Callithrix jacchus: one gene and its partners. The protein of the gene in region 4 purifies or fractionates together with the protein of the main gene of each other region. This does not show direct contact. Links are inferred from orthologs where the notes say so. Each region holds a gene or a part of one and is shown on either strand. Other genes may lie near its edges.

Region 1 (3,512 bases), on a different chromosome or scaffold from region 4:
AGCAGAGGGGAGGATGGTCCTTCGGTTAGGCGAACATCCTAAGACTTGAGGGAATTTGGCTGCTCACACTTAAGGTGGCTGCGGGCGACTCTGTTGCCCACAGCTAAGATGGCTGCTTATGACCATCTCCTTTGGCCGCCTCTGCTTTTTGCTCACTAGTATTTTCATCGAGGATTAAAGCGAATAAAATTTAGCAAAGGTTGGCATCTCCTTTCCAAGTAGATAAAATAAGAAGGTGGCACGGTTTGTTTCGAAAATCTTCTAGCGCGCGAATTGTTCTTGCCCTTAACGAAAATGGTCGTTGTGGTTGTCCCGAGGTTTGAAGCTTCCAGCCCTTAAATAAGATGGCGCCTAGAGGCGCGTTAGAAATTAGCTTGCCCGTTTTTCTGCCCTCGACCAACACGGCTTCCGTGGCGTCGCTCACGTGACATTCCTGGACTACGGCGCGGGAGAGGGGGTAGGAGGGCCCTTGAAGGGAGCGCGTTCCCGTGGCGGTGTACCCGGTAGGTTTCAGTCAGAGTCACTATGGCGGCCGGCGCTGGCAAGGTAAGCTGAGGCGGCGGTGGCGGCTAGGGAGGTAGAACCCGTCGTGGCGTCCTGCCTCCAAATCCTCGCAGCCCGCTTGTGGAGAGGTCGGCGGAGGTCATGCCTAGCGGTGGGAGCTGGCGGGGGTCTGGCTGGAGGGGGCGAGGGCTGAGGCGGGCGGGCTGAGGCGCCTGACGGCCGTTTGTTTTGATATTTTCCCCACCAGGTCGGAAAGTTTCCTGCCTCGTCCGGCGCAGCTTGAGCTTGCTCCATTGGCCGTGATCGGTGGAGGCTGCGGCGGACCCAGCCCGGGGCCTCCAGGCCTCTCCCTAACCTCCGGGCCAGTCTCCCTCCCCCACCTTCTCGTCCGCCCGGAGCTGCGACTGCTGTCCCTGAGATGCGACCCTCGCGGGGGCGACCCTGAGGGGAGGCGGCCCATGTGCTGAGCGGCGGCGACCAGGAGCCCAGGCGTCCGGGGACCAACTTCCTGCCGCCCGAGAACCCGAACCTCCCGGTGTCGCGCCTCGCTCGGTCCGCACCGGCCTGCGGAGCCGGGTCCCCGCCCTGGTCGCGGGGACACCCGCCAGGTGCCCAGGAGTCCCGACTTGGCCACTGCTCGCGCCCCGCCGGCCCCCACGCCTCGCGCTGAGGACCCCAGGCACTGCCGCCTCGCCACGCCGGGGACCGAGTCCCCCTTCCCGGGGCGGCCTCCGCGCAGCAGGGGCGATGCAGACTGTCCCGCCGGCCGTTTAGAGCCCCTCCGCCTCCGTCACCTCTCGCCCTCCACTCCGGGCGAGCACGGGCGGTGGCTGCCCGGAGGTGCCCGGCCACACCTTCCTTCGGCCCAAAAGGACTTTCCTGGCCGCGCCGAACCACGACCCTTCCTTCATGCTGCAGTGCTGCAGCGTTTCCGCCACCGAGGGGGAAAAGCGGCCGCGATCTCAAACCAAACACAAGAATTGGAGTGTGACTCATCTGCTTGGATACCTCCAGTCCCCAAACTGTGCTCCAGGAGTTTTCTTGGCCGAAGCTGCCCGATGTTTGAGCCGTTTCTTCCCAGAGAGGAAGATGGACTGAAAGCTGCCCGTTGGGGACTTTTCGTGATTAGGGCACTGCTGGGTTTTGGAGGAGGTGATGGGGCTTGCGCTGGCTTGTCTTCCCACCCAAGTGAAGAGTTGTTGATGTTCACTGGTTATGCATAGACAATGTGCAGTTTGTTTTAATTTAAAATTTTGGGTGGGATAGGGGTATAGGCTTGTGAAGGGCAGCCCGGATCCGGAGGAACTCCTCTTTGTCCCTGGTAGGAGAGACACCCCAAGCCTATCCTCGATGCCGTCAGCCTTGGCCATCTTCACTTGCCGCCCAAACTCGCACCCGTTTCAGGAGCGTCATGTCTACCTGGACGAGCCCATCAAAATCGGCCGTTCAGTGGCCCGCTGTCGACCAGCGCAGAATAATGCCACTTTTGATTGCAAAGTGCTGTCAAGGAACCACGCTCTCGTCTGGTTTGATCACAAGACAGGCAAGGTAATGTCACCACCACATTGTCCAACTGCATTGTTTAACAAACTCCTCCCCCACCCCACCTTTGCCCTCCCTGAAAGGCCTGACTTTTGCAGGATCCCAGGCTTTGCATCCACAGGAGGCTTTGCGCAAAGCCAGGAATCAACTGTTTGTGTGCCTGGTTCTAGTGGAAATTTGATTGAGGTGGTTGAATGGAAAACAGAGAAGGTATTGTAATTAAAAGCCTCAGGAGAGCTATGGCATCTTGATAACGTAGTCATTCCCAGAGAAATCCCAAACTAGATTGTGAAACTTGGCGTCTTGCTTTCAGTCTGTTGAGAAAGGTGAATTCACAGTTCAGCTCTTTATTAAGCAAGCAGCAGTTCTCAAAGCAATTCGGGGAATCCGTGGCCATTATTACCCTGGTGCTCAGGTGTCTTTGTGGTGAAATGTAGTTAACACATAGCTTTAGTTGAGTTCAGATCAAGACCTTTCTAAGTAAGGACAGTTGCTGGTGTAAACCTAAGATTTTTGAAAGGTTTGCTATATACTTGCTCTTGAAGGAATCATTTGCAATAATCAAAGCTAATTTAATTAAGCATGAGAACTGTACTTTATATATATTGAGAGTTTTTTTTACAAGTTGGTTGCACATACATATATTGCATTTGAAAATCACTTTTTGATGTTCCCTGCAGCACTTATTAAGTACTTATTGCATACTTACAGAGGTGCTATGCAAAAGTTAGTGTTAGGAAGTGAACTTATTTTCTGAAATTACACCCTAGTCTTTCAATTATAGTGTTACTTAAATGTGATAGGATGAATTCAGTGCTTTTCATTTTAAGTGTAACCATTTTTAGCATTTTTGCGTTAGTATCATGACTTACTATACATGTATGAGCTTTTAAGAATGAAGAAAAAAGATAGGATCATTTCCATTTTTAAAAACTATTTATGTTTGTGGAGAGTATACTAAAGAGCTCGTCTTAGTGCCTAAACCTCAGGTTTTTAGCCGAGCTACTGAATCAGTTCCAACTTTAAGTTATGTAAGACTAATAGGACTGTCTCAGGTTTCACCTCCTGACTTTTTGCCCCTTCTTTCTGAGTTAAATAATTAAATCTTTCTTAAAGGAAGAACTTAAGTCTTCAAGAATATGTTTTGAAGTGAAAGAAACCTGAGCCTCAAAAGGAAGAGAAAAAAATGATAACTTTGGCAGCTACTGATTTAAGGAAATATTTTATTATTTTTTAAAGAAAGGAGGAAAAGACTGTCCGAGTTATGTGTGCTCCATAATATCTATATTGTGTGTGTAGCATGAGAACTGAAGAGTATGTTAACTTTTCTGTGTAACACCAGTTCCTCATTTACCTGTGGAACAGACCCTTCCCCCAAGCTGGTTAGGGGTGCCTAAAATACTTCATAGATTACTTGATATACATATATATATTTTTTTTTTTTTTTTGACAGATTTTTACTTGCA
Region 2 (3,500 bases), on a different chromosome or scaffold from region 4:
ATTGACAGAATCTGTGAAATGGGAGAAGTGATGAGGAAAGCAGTTCAGGTGGATGATGACCAGTTTTGTAAGATTCAGGAAAAATTAGCCCAATTAGAGGTAAGATTGTTGTCATTTTGGGTTCACAGTATTTCAGAGTTTCCAGAGTCTGGAAGATACACCCTCACTGTCCTATCACTGTAATATATTGATGTTTTCTGTGTGTTTATGATTTAAAATTAAAACTCCTCCTTCATACCCTATGAAGAAAGAAAATATAGTAAACAGCAATCAAAGGAAATACCAACTATGTATTGGCAAGAAGTTGAGATATCATGCGAAGGTAGTGGGAGTGGAGGGGAGAAGTTATATGTGAGATAAAATCCTCATCTGCCATAATAAGAAGGGAAATAGGTAATACCTAACTAAAATCTTTGATCAGGAAATAGCAGTATAAATGTATTATTTAGAATTATGAATTAAATACCAAAAGAAATAGATAAAATAGTGGTTGCATTTGGGGTGCAAAGCCAAAGAACCGCTTGTATAAGCCATGTAGTCTTGATTTCTTAAAAGCTATGCTTATGTCATATTTTGATTAGAATAGGAATATGTTACAAAAAAGGGTTTGGGGTATAGTGTGCCCATAAAATTGTTAAGGAAAAACATTTCAATTTTGGGAGGTTAAGGCAAGTGAATTGCTTGAGCCCAAGAGTTCAAGAGCAGCCTGGGTAACATGGCGGGACCCTGTCTTTACAAAAAAAATACAGAAAATTAGCCAGGTGTGGTGGTGTGCTCCTGTAATCCCAGGTACTTGGCGACTGAGGTGGGAGGATCACATGAACCCAGGAAGTCGAGGTTTCAGTGAGCCACAATCACATGTACCACTGCACTCCAACTTGAGCGACAGAGTGAGACCGTCTCAAAAATTTAAAAGAAAAAAAAAAGCGAAGCATTTCAGTTACTGGTTTGAGTGCTGCTTATTACAAGGTGCTGTCCTGGGCCTTTTGACAAATACCAGAGAGAAAAAACAGGTACCTACCCAGAGTCTAGTGGAAGGAATAACCCTAGTACTTATATGATATGAAATAGTATGTGTAAGTGCTAGGAGACAGATACAAATACTGAAGGAAGCACTTCATGGGGTAGATTTATCGACTACAGGCTCTAATCTCTTAGTTACTCTATCTGCGGCTTCCACACATCTTGGTGAAGCTAAAAATGCTTTGGTTTACCAGAATTTTCTGCAGAGAATAAGGATGAAGAGTGCAAGCTACCCTGTCTAGAAATCGAAGGTAGTGACAGGTCCCAAGTAGTAATTAGGAGCCAGTGAAATGATAGAATGACCTTCTATTTGTCCCCAATTTCCTCACTTATGGAAATAGCCCTAAGGAAATGTGGGACAAGTTCTACTTTAATACTTCATGTAGAAAAAACATGACCACATTCAGACCCCAGCAGTATCACATCCAAGTTGTCTGAATTTTGACAACTTTTTGGAATTTTGTAAGACAGAGTATCCTCATCTTAAGTAGAATATGGATGTAGGCAATGATACCCTACCCTACGGGTTATTGTGGGATAACATATACAGTGCACCCATGCAGTACCCAGCTACATGCTTAATAAGCCCCTTTTCTTCCGTTTCTCTAGAACTGTAAGATATCCAGGAGTGGAGACTAATCAGAGTGAAATGATTATTAGGAATTTTTTAAATAAAATAAATAATAGTAAAACTGTGGGAACCATGAAAAATATAACAGTGAATTCCTCAGGTGGAGAGGGACCTTGTTTTTTGTTTTTCCTTTACAAGCCTCACAGTTGGTATATAGAAATTACTCAGTAAATTACTACTACAAAAGAGTATCATTGCCTACATTCTACATGTAAATGTTTGTTAAATGAATAAATAAGTAGTATTTAAGGAAATTCTCAATTCGTGGACTTTTTGTTTCCTTAAAATTTTTTTAATTAAAATAATGTTTTTTGCTCCTGGCCCAAAATAATGTGTTTTTATAACACAGTTTGACAGTAAAAAATACCAGAAATAAACATGCCTTTTTTTTCCAGCTTGAAAATAAGGAACTTCGAGAATTATTGTCCATCAGCAGTGAGTCTCTTCAAGCCAGAAAGGAAAACTCAATGGACACCACTTCACAAGCCATCAAATAACTGAGCTCTGAATGATGGCTGGAGATTGTCTATCAAAGAAGGAAGTTACTATCTTCCCATTCAAGTACTGTTCATTAAGTGTCTTGCCTCAGATTTGATTTAACCTTGATTACAGTTATCAGGTGGCAATTTAGAATTTCCAGTCAATATTGCTGTCCATGAAAACGGTTCTCAGATGTATTAATGTGGATACATGCTGAATTTCACTATTCCTTTCTCAAAGAGACTACTTTTAATTTTTATTTCTGGGACCTTGATTTATATAAACTGTGTTTTCAATTCATTGTTATTTTTCACATCTCTGAAACTTTGAGCATTTTTTTATAAGCCAGCAATTTTATTATGTATAGCATTGTAAAATACACTCCTAGGAAATTTTAGGAGAGATTTAACTTTTTAAATTTATTTGGCATAAACCTTGGTTTATCTTTTTTTTTTCATTTGATATAAATAATACAATTCCACAGAACTAAATCAGTTGATTCTCTGATTTGTAATGTCATTCGCCTGTGAAGTTTTAAGTCTCTCTGGTGCTAAGAATTGGCACTTTATGGCCTGGTGCCTTTGCTTTTAATTTGAGAGAACCTACTGCTAGTCCCAGGAAACATACTTGGAAATAAGTCAGCTATATTTTTCCCCAGTGATAGTATAGTTGTCATACATTGTTCAAAGTTCACATTGTTCAAAGCTGAGGAACTTGTCTTGTGTATGTGCATGCACACATGTAAGTGCACTTATTTCAAATACTAAAATTAGCTTTTATTAAATACAATCAGCCAAAAACACAAGAAAATCAAAAAACCCAAATATAATGAGTCAATTTTTCTTAGCTTTTTTTTTTGAGACAGAGTCTCACTCTGTTGCCAGGCTGGAGTGCAGTGACACGATCTCAGCTCACTGCAACCTCCAACTCCCTGGTTCAAGTGATTCTCCTGCCTCAGCCTCCCAAATAGCTGTGATTACAAGCACATGCCACCACGCCCAGCTAAGTTTTGGATTTTTAGTAGAGACAGCGTTTCAGTATGTTGGCCAGGATGGTGTCGATCTCCTGATGTCATGATCCACTCGCTTCAGCCTCCCTGAGTCAATTTTTCAATGTTATCCTACTAGTTCTACATTCTATTTTAACTTTTATATAATTTCCATGTTGTAGTTAAGAACTGTCACTTACTTGGATTAGATGCCTTTCACTCCTAGTACTAATAGTTGACTTTCTTTTTAGGTCTATTTTTTACATAAAAGTAGCTTTTTTTCTTTTTAAAGCTATATACAAAGGTAAGGAAGCAGTTTTATTACCTAATGAGAATTATTACACTCATAGTGCTATGTAGGCAACATTGAGATAAAAA
Region 3 (3,500 bases), on a different chromosome or scaffold from region 4:
TGGGCAACATAATGAAACCTCATCTCTCTAAAAAAAGTCAAAACCTTAGCTGGGCATGGTGGCATATGTCTGTTGTCCCAGCTACTTGGGAGGCTGAGGTGAGAGGGTCACTTAAGGCCAGGAGGTTGAAGCTGCAGTGAGCTATGATCATACCACTGCACTCCAGCCTGGGCAACAGAATGAGACCTTGTCTCAAGAAAAAAAAAAAAAAGACACCACAAACTGGAGGTAACAGTTAGAAAATGGTGTGTTAGTGTATAAAGTAGATAATCAAAATAGCAAATAGGCCAGGTGCGGTGGCTCATGCCTGTAATCCCAGCACTTTAGGAGACTGAGGTGGGCGGATTACTTGAGCTCAGGAGTTCAAGAGACCCCGTCTCTACTACTAAATACAAAAAATAAGCCTAGTGTGGCGGCATGCGCCTACAGTCCCAGCTACTCAGGAAGCTGAGGCAGGAGAATTGCTTGAACCCGGGAGGCGAAAGTTGCAGTGAGCCTAGATCACACCAATTCACTCCAGCCTGGGCCATGGGGGGGGGGGGGGGCGGGGTGTGTGTGTGTGTGTGTGTGTGTGTGTGTGTGTGTGTGTGTATGGATGAGATAGGTTCTGATAAAAGGCATTGTTAGAAATAAAAAGATTATTGATGAAAACTGGCCCAGTTCTCTAGGGAGAAAGTATTTTAAATTTGTGTTTACCTAGTAGTAGCTTCAAAATATATAAAGCAAAAATTGACATAAGGGAAAATTAAGAAATGTATTATGATTTTGGGAAAAAATTTAGTACACAGCCTTGCCAAGATCTCAAGCATAGATAAGGCAAAACAACAATAAGCGAGCTGCATTTAACAAAACCCTGGGCCCAAGAATTGCACAGCATTCTGTATAGGTACACAAACTGTTAAAGATGGAGCCCTCATAAACTAATGTAGACCGACTACATTTCCACAGAGGGTACTTGTAGTTTTTGAATTTAGTTTTTTTAAATGTGTTTGTGTCAGAATCCTAATACTGTAATGAAATGTTGAATTTGTTTTTATACTGCAGGGATACAATTGGTGTCATGATCGGAATGTGGTTACCATTTTCAGTGCACCCAATTACTGTTATCGTTGTGGGAACCAGGCTGCTATCATGGAATTAGATGACACTTTAAAATATTCCTTGTGAGTAACTGTAAATTTTAATTGTATATACTTAATTTCAGAAGGAAAATTTTAAATGTTAGAAATAGATTTCTGCTTCTGAAATGGTAGGATAAGGGCAAATGCCCTCCCCAGCAAAAACAGCCATTGGCTGGAGAATATTATTTTAAAAATAATTTTTCAAAGCTTTTGGAAATTGTCCTAAGGGCATATCGTAGATGGAGAAACAGTTAATTCAAAAAGACCTACTAAATCTCAGTAATAGTAATAGTAGTCTTAGCATTTGAGCTATGACTTGCTCCCTCCAAATCCTCCCAGATTCCTCTCACAGAAATGACTACAGGTGCTCTACTCTGGGTGGGTATAGTCAGGAAGCTAAGGGATCCCCCTCTTCACCCAGTGTTGGAGCTGTGGTTTCACTCCCAGAGATCAGATGCCAGCTCTCTTAGTCTGGAGTTACCGAAGCTCTACTCCTGGTAGATGCCATCAAGCAGGCTGAGGCCCCCTCCCTGACCCAGCTCCTGAACCAGAAGCTGTGCTCCAGGCATGGACGGCAGATGAGAATCCTGGGTTTCCCAATGCTGTTACCCTAGCACCTGCTCATAAACCAGATGGTATCCCTGAGTACACAGTGGCACAGAAGTTCTGCTCAGGAGGAAAGTCAGGTCACAGAAGTTCTTCAGCTCTGCCTTAGAGGACTTACCTTACTTAGATGATGGAGAATTCCAAATCTGAGTGCTTTGTGGCAAACAGTGGATGTCATGGTGGAGACCAATTAAAAGGGCTGTTATAGCACCTATGATACTAGGAGCGACATGCAAAAGAGCAGAGCAACAAGTTCTTCAACAGATAGCACCAGGGAAAAAGCCAAGAAAAGCCCTTCTGGGATTACAGTCATCTCTGGGGGACAGGAAGGCTGTGCACAGGCACTAGCCATAGCCACTCAGGAGCAGTCAGAGTAGGATGTGGGTTATTCTGTGAGATTCTCAAGCCAGACATAGATTGTACTGAGTTGAATAATGTCCCCCCAGACATAGATTGTACTGAGTTGAATAATGTCTCCCCCAAAAGAAAAAAATTTCATATCCACCTAGAACCTGAAAATGAGATGCTATTTAGAAATAGGATCTTTGCAGATATAATTATTAAAGATTAGATTATACTGGATTGGAGTGGGCCTAAATCCAATCCGAATGGCATTTTAGTAAGACGAAAAGAAACACACAGGGGAGAATGCTGTGTGAAGCCAGAGATTCAAGTGATGCATCCACCAGCCAGGGATTGCCAGAGCCACCAGAAGCTGGGGAGAGGCTAGGAAGGATTTTTCCTAGAGCCTTCAGAGAGAGCATGGCCCTGACAGCACCTTAGTTTCAGAGTGGTAGCCTCCAGAACTCTGAGAGGATAAATCCCTGTTGTATAAGCTGTACAGTTTGGTAATTTGTTATGGCAGCCCTGGGGAATGGATAAGTAGACTGATCAACAAATGGTGTAACCCTCACTGGTGTGTGAGACTTAAACACAACCTCTAATCATTGACTGAATAATCAATTACTCCGACCCAGGGGCACCTCCTAGGAAGCCAGGCTTTAAAATAAAATCACCGTCATCCCTGACAGTCTGGCAGCATATGTGCATGCCCAAGGTTACATCCTCTCTGGACTGAGTGGAAAAGGACGATCCAAGCTATTAGTCCCTGGCTGAATGGGAAGCCAAAATGTAAACTCCTTCAGCTTCAATAGCAATCTGCAAGTCACATAACATTTCCAGTGGTCATTAGGGTGAGCTTTAAGATCTAACTGGCCAAGGGAACTTAAGTACAACCTTTATCAGTAAGTGGCTTATGCGCGTACCCAAAGACAGCCTCTCAGTAACCAGGCTGAAAGATTAAAACAGGCCAGGTGCAGTGGCTTATGCCTGTAATCCCAGCACTTTGGGAGACCAAGGCGGGCAGATCACCTGAGGTCAGGGGTTCAAGACCAGCTGGACCAACATGGAGAAATTCTATCTCTATTATAACTACAAAATTAGCCTGGCATGGTGGTGCCTGCCTGTAATCCCAGCTACTCGGGAGGCTGAGGCAGGAGAATCACTTGAACCCAGGAAGTGGAGGTTGCGGTGAGCTGAGATCACACCATTGCACTCCAGCCTGGGCAACAAGAGCAAAATTCCATCTGAAAAAAAAAACCCCCAAGTAAAAACATCTGAACAGGGCTGCAGGGGCTGTACACTGTTGGGGAAGTGGACTTAACAGCTAAGGCACTAAACAAAAATTAAAATAAACCACCAAAAAAACAAGATCAGTCCCCAGTGACCTGAATTCCAGAGTTAACTGCAATATATTATCTTTAATGTCCCATT
Region 4 (3,500 bases):
GTTTACCGTTTTTCCCCTAAATATTGTTAATTGGAATTGATTCCTGCTTGGTGTTGGTAAAGGTGCTTTTCTTGTTGCAGGCAGATATCTGGTCCCTGGGCATAACAGCTATTGAACTTGCAAGAGGGGAACCACCTCATTCCGAGCTGCACCCCATGAAAGTTTTATTCCTCATTCCAAAGAACAACCCACCAACATTGGAAGGAAACTACAGCAAACCCCTCAAGGAGTTTGTGGAGGCCTGTTTGAATAAGGAGCCGAGCTTTGTAAGTTTCCTGGGGATCTGAACATCCCTCCCTATGTGAGTTTTGACTTGGTTTAGATACATCCTGTTGGGATTTCTTTTCAGCTGTCTTCATGGAATTCCTCATTTTTCTTTTTCTATAAATAAGTATGATTGACCTCTTTGGTTTGCAAATACATTTTATAAGTATTAGCAATTTCCTTATTTTGCTTTAGATTTCTACCATCTCATACTTCATTGAATCTGAAGAATATTCTCCTTAATATTAAATGTGGAATCATCAAAGTTTAATATCGATAGAGGATCAGGCCATAAACTGTTACACTGTTTTTAGGAATGGGAAAGTTTAGCTTGGAAATAAGTGGCTAAATATGTCTTTAAAGTAAATGTTTTCAATTTCCAGATGGCATATGTTAGGAAACAAAAGATTAGAAAATACAAATACAACCAAGCCCCTCTTTGCTATCCCCGCCTCTTCCTGCCCACTTCTCTTTTTAGGTTTAATGGACTCTGGCAGAGCCTTACAGCAGTAACGACTGCCTGGCTTTGCCCTGTTTTCTCTTTGAATTAGGACATTTATTTGAAAGTTGTCAGTGTGTGTCGGTGTTGGATGCAGCACCGTATGTCATTGATTTGTTTGAGTTTTCCAGCTGAAGGCCAATCTGAGCACCCCTTTTCCTAACTCTTAATTAAAAATGGGTGGTTACTTTTACAAGAGCACCGTGGTTTTCTAATACACCGGTTTTGGTAAAGGAATTAAGTGGGAAATGCAATATTTTCTTTTTTTTTTTTGAGACGGATTCTCACTCTGTCACCAGGCTGGAGTGCAGTGGCGTGATCTTGGCTCACTGCAACCTCCGCCTCTTGGGTTCAGGGGATTCTCCTGCCTCAGCCTCCTGAGTAGCTGGGACTACAGGCGTGCACCACCACACTCAGCTAATTTTTGTATTTTTGGTAGAGATGTGGTTTCACCTTGTTGGCCAGGCTGGTCTCGATCTCCTGAACTCGTGATCCACTGCCTCGGCCTCCCAAAGTGCTGGGATTACAGGTGTGGGCCACCGTGCTTGGCCAGAATGCAACATTTTCTAAGCACCTCTAAGGAGATGCAGCCGGAGACCACCACGCCAGTGATTGATCACCCCATCAGCGTGAGGTAGTGGTGAGGCTTGTCCCACGTGCCATGATGCTCTGCATTTTATTGCATGATGATGTTTGTTGCACCCACCATGCACTGGTGGAGATGCGGCCGCTTGCAGGCATGCCTTCCCATGCACAGCATGCGTCTAATACGAGCTTATTCCCCAGCACACACCGCTCCACCCTACAGCTACTGAGGAGCCGGCTGAGAGGCGAGAATATGAGCACCTCAGGGGTAGTTGGGGTTTTACCCTCATGTGGACAGAGAGGGAGAATACCTGAGGTGATCAGGTTTCTCACGAGTTTGAATCTGAAAATGTGCTTGACTCTTGTAATCAAGCTTTCGTAGTTTGGAGTGAGTGGGATCTTGGTTTGACTTGGGGTTTGGGTGTTCCTTCTGTCTGTTCCAATTTGGGCCAAGCTGGTTTCCTTGGGAAGCACATTCCCTATCACTGTCACCATCTTCAAGGCAGGTAGCTGGCTGGGTGCTGCTTGCGGTGGCCATGCTGAGCTCAGGGCATGGGTGAAGTCCTCAGCCCAATAACAAGGGAAGGGAGGGACCTGGGCAACAGCCTTTCTAAACTGGGACAGTGGGTGATGAAGAGCACCCCGCTCTTTCAACAGACAGGAAAAAGGGCATCTGCTGGCTCCCTTATGGTTTCTTTGAGATAATTCCAAATTGACATTTCTATTATGTGTCTGGATGTGGTCAAACATTAATACAGAAAGTTAACAAAGCGGCCAGGCACGGTGGCTCATGCCTGTAATCCTAGCACTTGGAGAGTCTGAGGAGGGTGGATCACCTGAGGTCAGGAGTTTGAGACTAGCCTGGCCAACATGGTGAAACCCCATCTCTGCAAAAATAGAAATAATACACTAGGTGTAGTGGCACATTCCTGTAGCCCCAGCTACTTAGGAGGCTGAAGCAGGAGAATCGCTTGAACCTGTGCGGCAGAAGTTGCAGTGAGCCGAGATCTCACCACTGCACTCCAACCTGGGCAACAGAGCAAGACTCTGTCTCAAACAAAAAGTAAAAGCGACACAGAACAAGTATTTTGTCAGCATTTGTCATAAAGTATTTTATAAATTAGGAGATAAGCTCTCATGAATAATCCCTCTGAAGTTCTGTGCAGAGTTTTCTGTGGAAGTGCATTTATCTGGGGGAAGTTCTTGTGCTTTCATTGGATGGCTACCTGTAGAATATTAAGGACCTCCTTGGAAACTCAGTGCCATGCCCACCACAGCACCCGGAGTCCAGGCGTAGGTCCTGAGACTCTCATCTTGGGGCGAGTCACAGTGAGAAGAGCTGTGGAGTGGAGTCCAGTCATCAGGCAGGCTGATGTTTTGAGGCTGAAGTGTGTCCTTTCGGCGGGGATGGAGAGCTTCATCTCATACTTGGGTTGTTGTGTGTGTTTTTCCAGAGACCCACTGCTAGGGAGTTACTGAAGCACAAGTTTATCCTACGCAATGCAAAGAAAACTTCCTACTTGACCGAGCTCATCGACAGGTACAAGAGATGGAAGGCGGAGCAGAGCCATGAGGACTCAAGCTCTGAGGATTCTGATGCGTAAGTGGCCCCTGGGTGGCCCAAGCATGGTGTAGGATGGAGCCGCTGGTCCTTGTCACTTGTTTGGTGTGCATTTCGTTTCTTGTTGAGTTTTTTTCAGATAATCCAGGTTGGTGGCGATTGTTGTGTTAGACACAGCATGGGCCTGTTTGGGCATCATTTAGCCTCTTGATGTTGTCAGTGGAGTTTCTTCGAGGGAACTCTTAGAGCTGTGCGTAGGGGTCCAGACCTGGCTGTTTCACTGTGTTCTGTTTTGTTTCTTTCTGTTCTGTCTTGTTTTCCATTACACTTCATGTTCTTAAAATCCTGACAAGGTGAAATTGTATCACATGAATACCTGAAAGGCTAGAAATGCATGTTTTTGTGATTCCCTGTTGAGTCTGGTAGAAGCTCTGTACCAGGAAGTGACTTACGGAGAACTGCTTTCAAGTTCGGCATCTAGGAATTCCTTTGGCATCAGAGGCAAAGTGGGGCTGCAGCCATTTGTGTGGGGAAGGCTGGGGAGGCAGTCGGGCCAGGGATGTGTCAGGAAGTGGGAGCCTGGGAACTCAT
Region 5 (3,984 bases), on a different chromosome or scaffold from region 4:
TGTTTTTTTAGTATAGATGGGGGTTTCACCAAGTTGGCCAGGCTGGTCTTGAACTCCTGGCCTCAAGTGATCCACTCGCCTCAGCCTCAGAGCCCCATGTTTTAAAAAAGTTTGCCTCCTACACACTGCATTAATAGTTTTAATTTTATTAATCAGGCACATAGAATTACCATTTCAGAACTTGCGATCACCATATGTAGTTATCACTCCAAGCTGCTTAAATTCCAGTCTAAAACAAACAAAAAGGACATTCTAGTTATTCTGTGCTGCCCTGACACGGGTAGGTGAAAACTTGCCATTCAGTTTTGTAAGAAGGAGCTCCCAGATCTCCACTTCTTCCCCTTGCTGCCTCTGAGGACTCTTGGGGGTTTAGGGAGGCCAGTCTGGGTTTTCTTATTCAAGCAAAGTAGCCACCCCACCCAGTTTGGAAGGATTAAAGCTTGTCCTAGTTTTGCTTCATTGTTGTACTTCTAGCATGCTAAAGAGCTGAAAAATGGGAGGAAGAAAATACAACAGAAGGCACCATTCCAGTACCAAACTGAAAAGAAACACAAAAACAAGAGAGCAGCATGTTTTTAACAGCTTGCGTGGAAAAAATATTGACTGGGGAGTTTGGACAGCACTGTTCATTTTCTCTCACCGCCCGCGTTATTTGTCTTATGGAGCAGGAGCCAGATACCATTCTGGAGAACAGGCCGAGGGAAGAGGTGGAGGGGTTCTGTGGAAGCTTGAGGCTGAGCTGAGTAATTAGGGCTGGAGATCCTGTGGCTCAGTGCCAGGATGCAGTCAGGGGAGGTGCTAAAGCCTTCTTCCTCCTGGCCTCGGGCACTCTCTTTGGTCCGCCTGAGTCTTAAGAGGGCACAGCGCGGATCACCCAGGTAGGTCCCTGGCCCCTTCAGACGAGCCGGATGAATCACTGTCCCTGTTTCTTTCGGCTAGGGAAAGGACGCAGGGGTTCCATTCGCTTTCTCAGTCCACCCATCTTCTTGAGTTCAGACCTACAACTCCTGCATTGGGGGTCGGAAGGGAGCCTTAATCATCGGGACAGAAACTCAGCTCCTCAACCTCGGCTCAACTCGCGTGGCAGCTTTAGTCCCTCCTGCCAGGGCGCGGGGCGGGGCCTGGGAGCGGGGCGGGGGCTGGGCGCGGGGCGGGGCCTGGGCGCGGGGCGGGAGGCGGTGACCAGCAGTAGGAGGAGAAAGAACATGGCGGGCGCAGCGGGGCCCGGGACCTGCCCGGGAGCAGCCGGCGGAGGTGGAGACGATTCGCTATACCCTGTCGCGGTTTTAATCGACGAGCTCCGCAATGAAGACGTGCAGGTACTGGACTGAGCCCGGGGAGCCGAGGTGGGCCCGGTCGGTCGCGTGGTAGAGAAGGGGGAAGGCCTGTGCCGCGGTGGCTATGGCCGGGGGACTGATTGAACCGGACTCAGCAGAAACTTGGAAGGGCAGGCGAGGAAAGATCCGCGAGGGGACGTGGTGGCACGCCCCGACTCTCCCGGTGACCGCTCCAGTACCCCTGCTTCGGACCCCCTGAGGCGTCCGCCCGGAGCCTGGCCTTTCCAGGGCGGTTGTCCGGGAACCCGCTTCCCGCCTGGGCCGCCCCGCTTCGGGCTGTGAGGCAGCTGGAGGAGCGCGGTGCGGGGCCGAGACCGGGCTGGAGCGACTGAGGGCGCAGGATGCGCAGAAGCCCTTTGAAGTGTCCCGGAATCCCTTCGTCTCGGCCTAGAACTGGCTCGGCTTGTTGGGTAGAAAGAGGAGGTGGGATTGCCGATCAACCTGGACGTGTCGTATCAGCTTTACGGGAACTTTTCTTTGAAACGACAGGCGTTGTATTCGACCGTTTCACCTGCTTCACCACTGCCAAAGTGCCCTCTTTTAAAAATTATCTTACTTCCTGGGTGTTGTATTATCTTTCATTCATTTCTCTTCCGGGGCCTTCTGAGTGTTTCTCCTAGGAAATCTTCCGCTGGCTAGTGAGACCGAGTTACATTCCTCTTGGAAGTCCCTTAACAGTGAAATGTAAATGAAATGTTAGTTATCCTCATTCTTACCCGTGTCATTGTTTCACCTGTTAGCACCTTTTGTCTTTTGATCTAAATTTAACCGTTTCTTTACATTGATTTTCTTTCTCCTTTTCTGAAGCTCCGACTCAACAGTATTAAGAAGTTATCAACAATTGCCCTAGCACTTGGAGTAGAAAGGACACGAAGTGAATTGCTGCCATTCCTTACAGGTATGTGAACCTTTGTTTAAAGAAAGGCAGGGACATTCCATTTTCCAGTAGCTTTCAACACTGACTTTTTTAGTTTGTTACCCACATTAAAATGAGCCGGGTGGTTTATGTGCAAAAGAAACAGAACAGAGTATATTGTTACTTGTGGCTAGATATATTCAAACAATAACCATTTAGCTATTGGGAAAGTAATTGCTATGAGAATATGAATTTCCAATTTGTTGTGCAAAACAGATCTAGGAAGAGAGTTGATTGAGGAGAAGGAAGAAAATGCTGTTAGGATTTTGACTGGGCCACCTTACTGGTTGCATAGTGAATCTGGTCCTAGTTTTGCGTCAGTGTACGGCTGCTGTGGGAGAGCTGTGTTGATGAGTCCCTGTTGTTGTCACTTCCAGATACAATTTATGATGAAGATGAGGTACTATTAGCTCTTGCTGAGCAGCTGGGAAATTTCACCGGCCTAGTGGGAGGTCCTGACTTTGCCCACTGTCTGCTGGTGAGTATACTGCTGCTTACCCTCCTTCCAGAACTTTTGCAGTATAAATGATACATTGTTTCGTGACAGGCATACTGCAGCATTTTTTATACAGATCTTTTATGGGCAGATTATCATAATGTTAGTCACTGAGAGAATAAATAATGTAAGCATTTTGGACTCAACCCATTCTTTTTTTTTTTTTCTATGAATAAGATAACTTTGTCCTTCTGTGTCTGTATACGTATTAGTTTAGATGTAGGGAGAAAAAGGATTTGATTGTTTTTATGGTTCCCCTCCCCCCAGGTTGAAAGTCTTAATTCTCATCTAGTGGCATTTTGTCTTTCTCAGTATAACTTTTGCTTCTGACTTTGTGAGTTTGATGAATTTAGTTCAATTTAATTGACATTTATTGAGAGTCTGCTTTATCAGACACATCGTTAATTTGCAGTGTTAATGTGAGTGGGCTTGTGGTACAAGCCTGTATAGTACCAGCTACTCAGGAGGCTGAGATGGGAGGATCACTTGAGCCCAGGAGTTTGAATCCAGCCTGGGCAACGTAGTGAGACCCCTATCTCTTAAAAAAAAACGTGACCACCAGGCTGGGTGTGGTGGCTCAAGCCTGTAATCCCAGCACTTTGGGAGGCCGAGGCGGGTGGGTCACGAGATCAAGAAATCGAGACCATCCTGGTCAACATGGTGAAACTCCGTCTCTACTAAAAATACAAAAAATTAGCTGGGCATGGTGGCGTGTGCCTGTAATCCCGGCTACTCAGGAGGCTGAGGCAGGAGAATTGCCTGAACCCAGGAGGCGGAGGTTGCGGTGAGCCGAGATCGCGCCATTGCACTCTAGCCTGGGTAACAAGAGTGAAACTCCATCTCAAAAAAAATAAATAAATAAAAATTACCACCAAAGTAAATGGAATGAGGTCCCTGCTTTTATGTGCCAGCAAATAATTACTGTGCAGTCTTATATGGAAAGATAGAAGTATCTACAAAATACCCACATAATAAAGGGGAGAAAGGGATTAACTCAGGGTGATCAGGAAAGACCTCTTGGGAGATGATGTTTGAACTGGGTTTTAAAAGATGACCAGGAATTCAACAGTTGGACAAAGTAGGATGTATGCTTCAGGGCTTTCAGTACTGGGTATGTAATACGATTCTCGCAATTTCGATCTCTAGCTCTGACTTTTCCATGGAACTCCTGAGGTAGATTGATTAATAGATAAGTATGAATGTGTATATATGGAGAGATCTATATTTTTCTATCT
Region 6 (4,145 bases), on a different chromosome or scaffold from region 4:
AAAAGGTTTTCTCTGCCCGGGTTTGTGTCATATTTAGATCCAATTTGGAAAGTGGAGCAATTAAATTCTCAAAATCTTTCATTAAGACCTGCCATTAAAAAAAAAAAAAAAAAAAAAAAAAAAAAAAAGCTTTGATCTGTAACTCTTGGACTGAACATTCCAGTCATTCATCTTCCAGAATTTCAAGTGCAGGATTTGGTTGTGGTTTGATTTTACTTTTTTGAGACAAAGCTTGAATGTCTCAATTTGATTTTATGCATTCGACACATTTTTAGGGATCTGGTGATTTGGGAAGGGCTGTACCATATGGTCTTGGTAAGGTGATAGATTTTCACATTCTGGAAATTGGCAGCAAAGGGTAGGAAATGAGTTAGATGTGGGAAGGGAAGTCTGAGTGTTTGGGCCTAATTCACTCACCTCATGAAAAGTCTTCTGAGTTGGGTAATTCCCATAAAATCTAAGTTTACAAAGATGGTTTTTGATTGTTTTTTGTGTATACGTACACGTATCCTCACACGTAGGGAATAATTTTTTTAAACTCTCAAAAGTAGAGGGCATAACATTTAGCTTTTAAAGCTATGACATTTAACACTTCTTGGTTAGTCCTTCAGAAGAGACCTCAGACTTGAGGGGTCAAAGAACATAAGACAGCCAGATACAAGTTCCCTGAAAAGGAGATTACAGAGTTAGGTGCTGAGGGGCCAGTGCCATGCACTAAAAGAAAACAGAACAGACACATCGTTTTCATCTGAGGACTGTTTTTGGAGAAGGACTAGAGTCAAGATAGAGTAAGTAAATCAGAGCCAGGTGTATATACACATACATTGGGAGGGTAAAAACACCCTGGCGGCGGTGAAATTTAAGAAAGCAATTTAAGAAGAAAGGGGTGCCTTGTGTGATTCCTCGGGGCGGGATAGAGGGAGCTGAAGTGTAGGATTTTCCCTGATCTTTCAGAGAATTCAGTTTCAGGAGGCCTGACATTTAATCCGGTCTGTGCAAGGATTTCTCGGGCTTGGTGGGGGTTCTGCGGCACGCTTTCTCCCTTCACCTCTTCCCTGGTCTTTGATCCCTAGCCAGTGCGCAGAACCGCAGCGGAGTCAGGTCGTGCGCCCATTTCTCGCACCTCCACAAGCCCGCGGCTGGCCCAGCAGGGCGCGGGGCGGGACCGAGGCGGGGCGCTCCGGCGCACAGAGGGTTAAGCGGCGAGGGCGGCGGCGAGGGGCGGAGAGAGCTCGGCGACTCTCGGCTCCCTGCGCCCGGCTCCCGGAGCCCGCGTCCCGGACAGCAGCGGGTTAAGCGCCGCCCGCGCGGAGAGGGCTGAGTCCGGAGCCGCGGCTCCGAGCTCGCATTCGGATCCGCTAGAGCAGGAAGATGGCGACTGACGGCGCGAGCTGCGAGCCCGACTTGTCCCGGGCTCCAGAGGACGCGGCGGGGGCAGCGGCGGAGGCGGCGGTAACCGAGTTCCCGGGGCGGGTGTGGGGCGAGTGTAGACGCGGGCAGGGGGCGGCGCCGGGGCCCCAGCTGGACCGGGCTCCGCACCGCCGGGGCGTTCTGTAAGCCCGGGACCCTCGGGTGCCCCTTCCTCGGGGTGCCCGCAAGGCGATGCCGGTGGGAGCGGAGCGGCCACCCGGGCTGGGGCTCCGTTCTGCCCCTTCCGCGCCCCTGGGGAGCGACCCCAGGTCGCCTGGTTCTCCCAGCCTCCTGCGTGCGTCCCACTCGACCCCTTCGCCCACTCCCTCCGCTGCGGTGGATTCTGGCGGGGGGCGAAGGCTGGGACGGGTTTCCTGGCGAATTTGACCCCCCATTGTTCACCTCTCGCTGCGCGCATGGTTGCGAGCGCGTGTCTCGCGGGTGCCTGGTACCTCTCAGCGGACCTGGGAGAGCTTCGAGGGGGAGGCGGGCCATCGCCCAGCAGGTGTGGGGATGCCCATTGTGTGCATCTGTTCCGGTGCCTTCGGGAGGCCCTTTGGGAGAGACCCCGTGTCCAGCTGTTGGCGCTGCTGCCGCTGAGGCCAGCGCTTTAGGTCCTAGCAGCCTGCTACCCCATCACTTGGTGGTGGTGATTGGAGTGGGGTGAAGGGGTTGGTTCTTCCCGAGGCAATGCCCGGGCGAGGTGGAGGTTCTGCACCTGGTTTCAAGACATTGTTCTCCTTCTTTGGGGTCTAGAAGGCCAATGCGCTACCATTTATAACTGGTCCTCACTTTCACCCCCTGAATATCTCCGGGCAGATACTCACTGGTGGTTTCCAGCCTCTACCTTGGGGGAGGGCTGGACCCACATTTCCCTGGTGGAAAACGTTCTCAGTGTTTGGGAAGCAGCCTCGCAGGAGCTGCAAGGATCTGCAGAGAAAGGCAGATCTGTGAGCGCCTCCCACTCTTGGCCCGATCTAGCTGCTCTTGCCGGAGGATCGGGGTGGGTTGGAGCGAGCGGGGCGTAGACGCCCCCTCCCTTCCTCTCAAGACCTGAGCAGAGTCCGTGCAAAAGCGGGAGAGGGCAGGGCCAGGCATAAACAACCAGGGCCGCTTTAACTTCCTCCCACCCTCTGGAGGTAGGGCTTTCTGGAGAGGGAAGAGAGATGTGGAGGAAGGTACTTGGGGTGAGAGGAACTGAGCCTGGGAGTGGAGGGAGAAACAGGGGGAGGAGGACTGCTGATTTCCACTTGTAAAACTGGCAAGTTTTGATTTGAACTTTTCGGAAAACGAACTTTTGTGAAATCAGAGCTTTAAGATTTCCAACGAAACCTGGCCACTTAACGTGAATCAGCTCCCCTCTGTGGGGCACAGTAAGGAAACTAGCTATTAAGACAAGGCTCTCGGGGAAGTGGAAATGATTTGGTGCCTTCATCCCCAAAAGGTGGGAAGGAGAAGAAAGAGGAAAAAGAGGGTGCGAGGTGTGTGTGTGTTTGTAGGGGTGCCTGTGTAGGGGTGTGTGTGCAGGTGTGATGTGTGCGCGCGCAGGGGTTCGTGCAGGGGTGTGTGGGTGTGTGTAGGGGTGTGTTTCTTGTTCCCCAGGTTTAATTTGTTTACTTAATCTACTTAGAATGGGTTTCTTTCTATTACCCTCTATTTTAATCACCTGACAATTAACCCAAACACAAACATCTGATTGATGGTCTGTAGAGCTGATATATAGTTTTGTTTAGTTAGATCATAAACAAAACTTTGGTCGCCAGGAAGATTTCTGTGTTAACAAGGTCAGTGTTCCCTCTCTGCCGTTTAAAATTTTCAAGTCTGATTTTCACTGCTGATATTTGGGGATTTGATAATTTCACCCTTGTTAATGGGCAGAGCCATGGAAAATCTTCGAAAGTGAACCTTCTTTGCTATTTCCGTAGAATCCTTTAGGGTTGCCAGATGCAATAAGGATTCTTCATCTAGTAGTTAAAAAGAAATAAACTTCTGACATTTTAGTAAAATTTCGATGATGTCTTCTTATGTAGTAAATTGGGCATTTTATTTTACTTCTCCAGTTTTGACTTAATAAGGCATGGTTCTCTCATATCAGCCACTTGACTTGTAGATTAATTTTGAAATGAAAGGAAAGCTAGTGTAGAGGAGTGATATGTGTCATCACAGTTGCTCCTTAAAAATCAAAGGCGTTTTAATGCACGTTGGGTTCTTGTTGACTGAGAACTTAATTTTTATTTTAGTGAACAATTCACTTTGCATTTTGGAGATTTATTTAATTTCAAATCAGTTTACATATTGTACATTTTTATGTATACATTTGGCAGTAAGGAGCCAATGGAAGCTCTGAAGCAGTAGGCTATTTTTGAAAGTCAGTGTTTTCACTAAGCTTTGACTATTTAGATTGTTGCTTAGAAACAAGCTTAATTTATAGTTTTCAGTTTAATATCATTTTTAGTGGAATGTTTTAAATTTAGTTTGTGATCCTCATTCTTAGCTGTTTAAATCCTAAAAGCATACCAAGTTTAAAGCTGGGTAACAGTTACATTATTTAGTAGGACTGTATTAATAGTCTTTGCCATGAACCATGCCGGGAAACCTGGGTTATTTTCAGTGCCTTAGCCAAATGTGATGACTTTTATAGGCCATATTGCTGTTTCTACTCTGAAAATAACTCCTAATGGATAAGGCAGTATGGAAAACAGAAATCTTCATACTTTTTATTGTCACCAAATAAT

What was found.
Region 1: the proteins of STK24 (region 4) and SLMAP purify together in Homo sapiens (affinity purification with mass spectrometry; 6 studies listed by BioGRID and IntAct, with this or other methods). This does not show direct contact. The link is inferred for Callithrix jacchus from reciprocal best matches to the Homo sapiens genes STK24 and SLMAP.
Region 2: the proteins of STK24 (region 4) and SIKE1 purify together in Homo sapiens (affinity purification with mass spectrometry; 4 studies listed by BioGRID and IntAct, with this or other methods). This does not show direct contact. The link is inferred for Callithrix jacchus from reciprocal best matches to the Homo sapiens genes STK24 and SIKE1.
Region 3: the proteins of STK24 (region 4) and PPP2CB purify together in Homo sapiens (affinity purification with mass spectrometry; 5 studies listed by BioGRID and IntAct, with this or other methods). This does not show direct contact. The link is inferred for Callithrix jacchus from reciprocal best matches to the Homo sapiens genes STK24 and PPP2CB.
Region 5: the proteins of STK24 (region 4) and PPP2R1B purify together in Homo sapiens (affinity purification with mass spectrometry; 3 studies listed by BioGRID and IntAct, with this or other methods). This does not show direct contact. The link is inferred for Callithrix jacchus from reciprocal best matches to the Homo sapiens genes STK24 and PPP2R1B.
Region 6: the proteins of STK24 (region 4) and CTTNBP2 purify together in Homo sapiens (affinity purification with mass spectrometry; 3 studies listed by BioGRID and IntAct, with this or other methods). This does not show direct contact. The link is inferred for Callithrix jacchus from reciprocal best matches to the Homo sapiens genes STK24 and CTTNBP2.

The regions. Positions count from the first base shown.
Region 1 is NC_133516.1:39,559,933-39,563,444, forward strand, and holds the start of SLMAP (sarcolemmal membrane-associated protein), read left to right. Parts: upstream 1-1,500; 5' UTR 1,501-1,854; coding exon 1,855-2,052; intron 2,053-3,512. Other genes in the region: uncharacterized protein LOC144579547, read right to left, coding at 511-1,500. UniProt on the Homo sapiens protein: Associates with the striatin-interacting phosphatase and kinase (STRIPAK) core complex, forming the extended (SIKE1:SLMAP)STRIPAK complex.
Region 2 is NC_133508.1:152,756,826-152,760,325, reverse strand, and holds part of SIKE1 (suppressor of IKBKE 1), read left to right. Parts: coding exon 1-99; intron 100-2,049; coding exon 2,050-2,151; 3' UTR 2,152-3,500.
Region 3 is NC_133514.1:31,956,876-31,960,375, reverse strand, and holds part of PPP2CB (serine/threonine-protein phosphatase 2A catalytic subunit beta isoform), read left to right. Parts: intron 1-1,044; coding exon 1,045-1,163; intron 1,164-3,500.
Region 4 is NC_133502.1:14,170,682-14,174,181, reverse strand, and holds part of STK24 (serine/threonine-protein kinase 24), read left to right. Parts: intron 1-80; coding exon 81-266; intron 267-2,802; coding exon 2,803-2,948; intron 2,949-3,500. UniProt on the Homo sapiens protein: Serine/threonine-protein kinase that acts on both serine and threonine residues and promotes apoptosis in response to stress stimuli and caspase activation.
Region 5 is NC_133511.1:11,467,480-11,471,463, reverse strand, and holds the start of PPP2R1B (serine/threonine-protein phosphatase 2A 65 kDa regulatory subunit A beta isoform), read left to right. Parts: upstream 1-1,184; 5' UTR 1,185-1,205; coding exon 1,206-1,319; intron 1,320-2,144; coding exon 2,145-2,235; intron 2,236-2,630; coding exon 2,631-2,731; intron 2,732-3,984. UniProt on the Homo sapiens protein: The PR65 subunit of protein phosphatase 2A serves as a scaffolding molecule to coordinate the assembly of the catalytic subunit and a variable regulatory B subunit.
Region 6 is NC_133512.1:88,462,301-88,466,445, reverse strand, and holds the start of CTTNBP2 (cortactin-binding protein 2), read left to right. Parts: upstream 1-1,345; 5' UTR 1,346-1,371; coding exon 1,372-1,452; intron 1,453-1,763; exon of another isoform or gene 1,764-1,915; intron 1,916-2,384; exon of another isoform or gene 2,385-2,549; intron 2,550-2,553; exon of another isoform or gene 2,554-2,827; coding exon of another isoform or gene 2,828-2,854; intron 2,855-4,145. UniProt on the Homo sapiens protein: Regulates the dendritic spine distribution of CTTN/cortactin in hippocampal neurons, and thus controls dendritic spinogenesis and dendritic spine maintenance.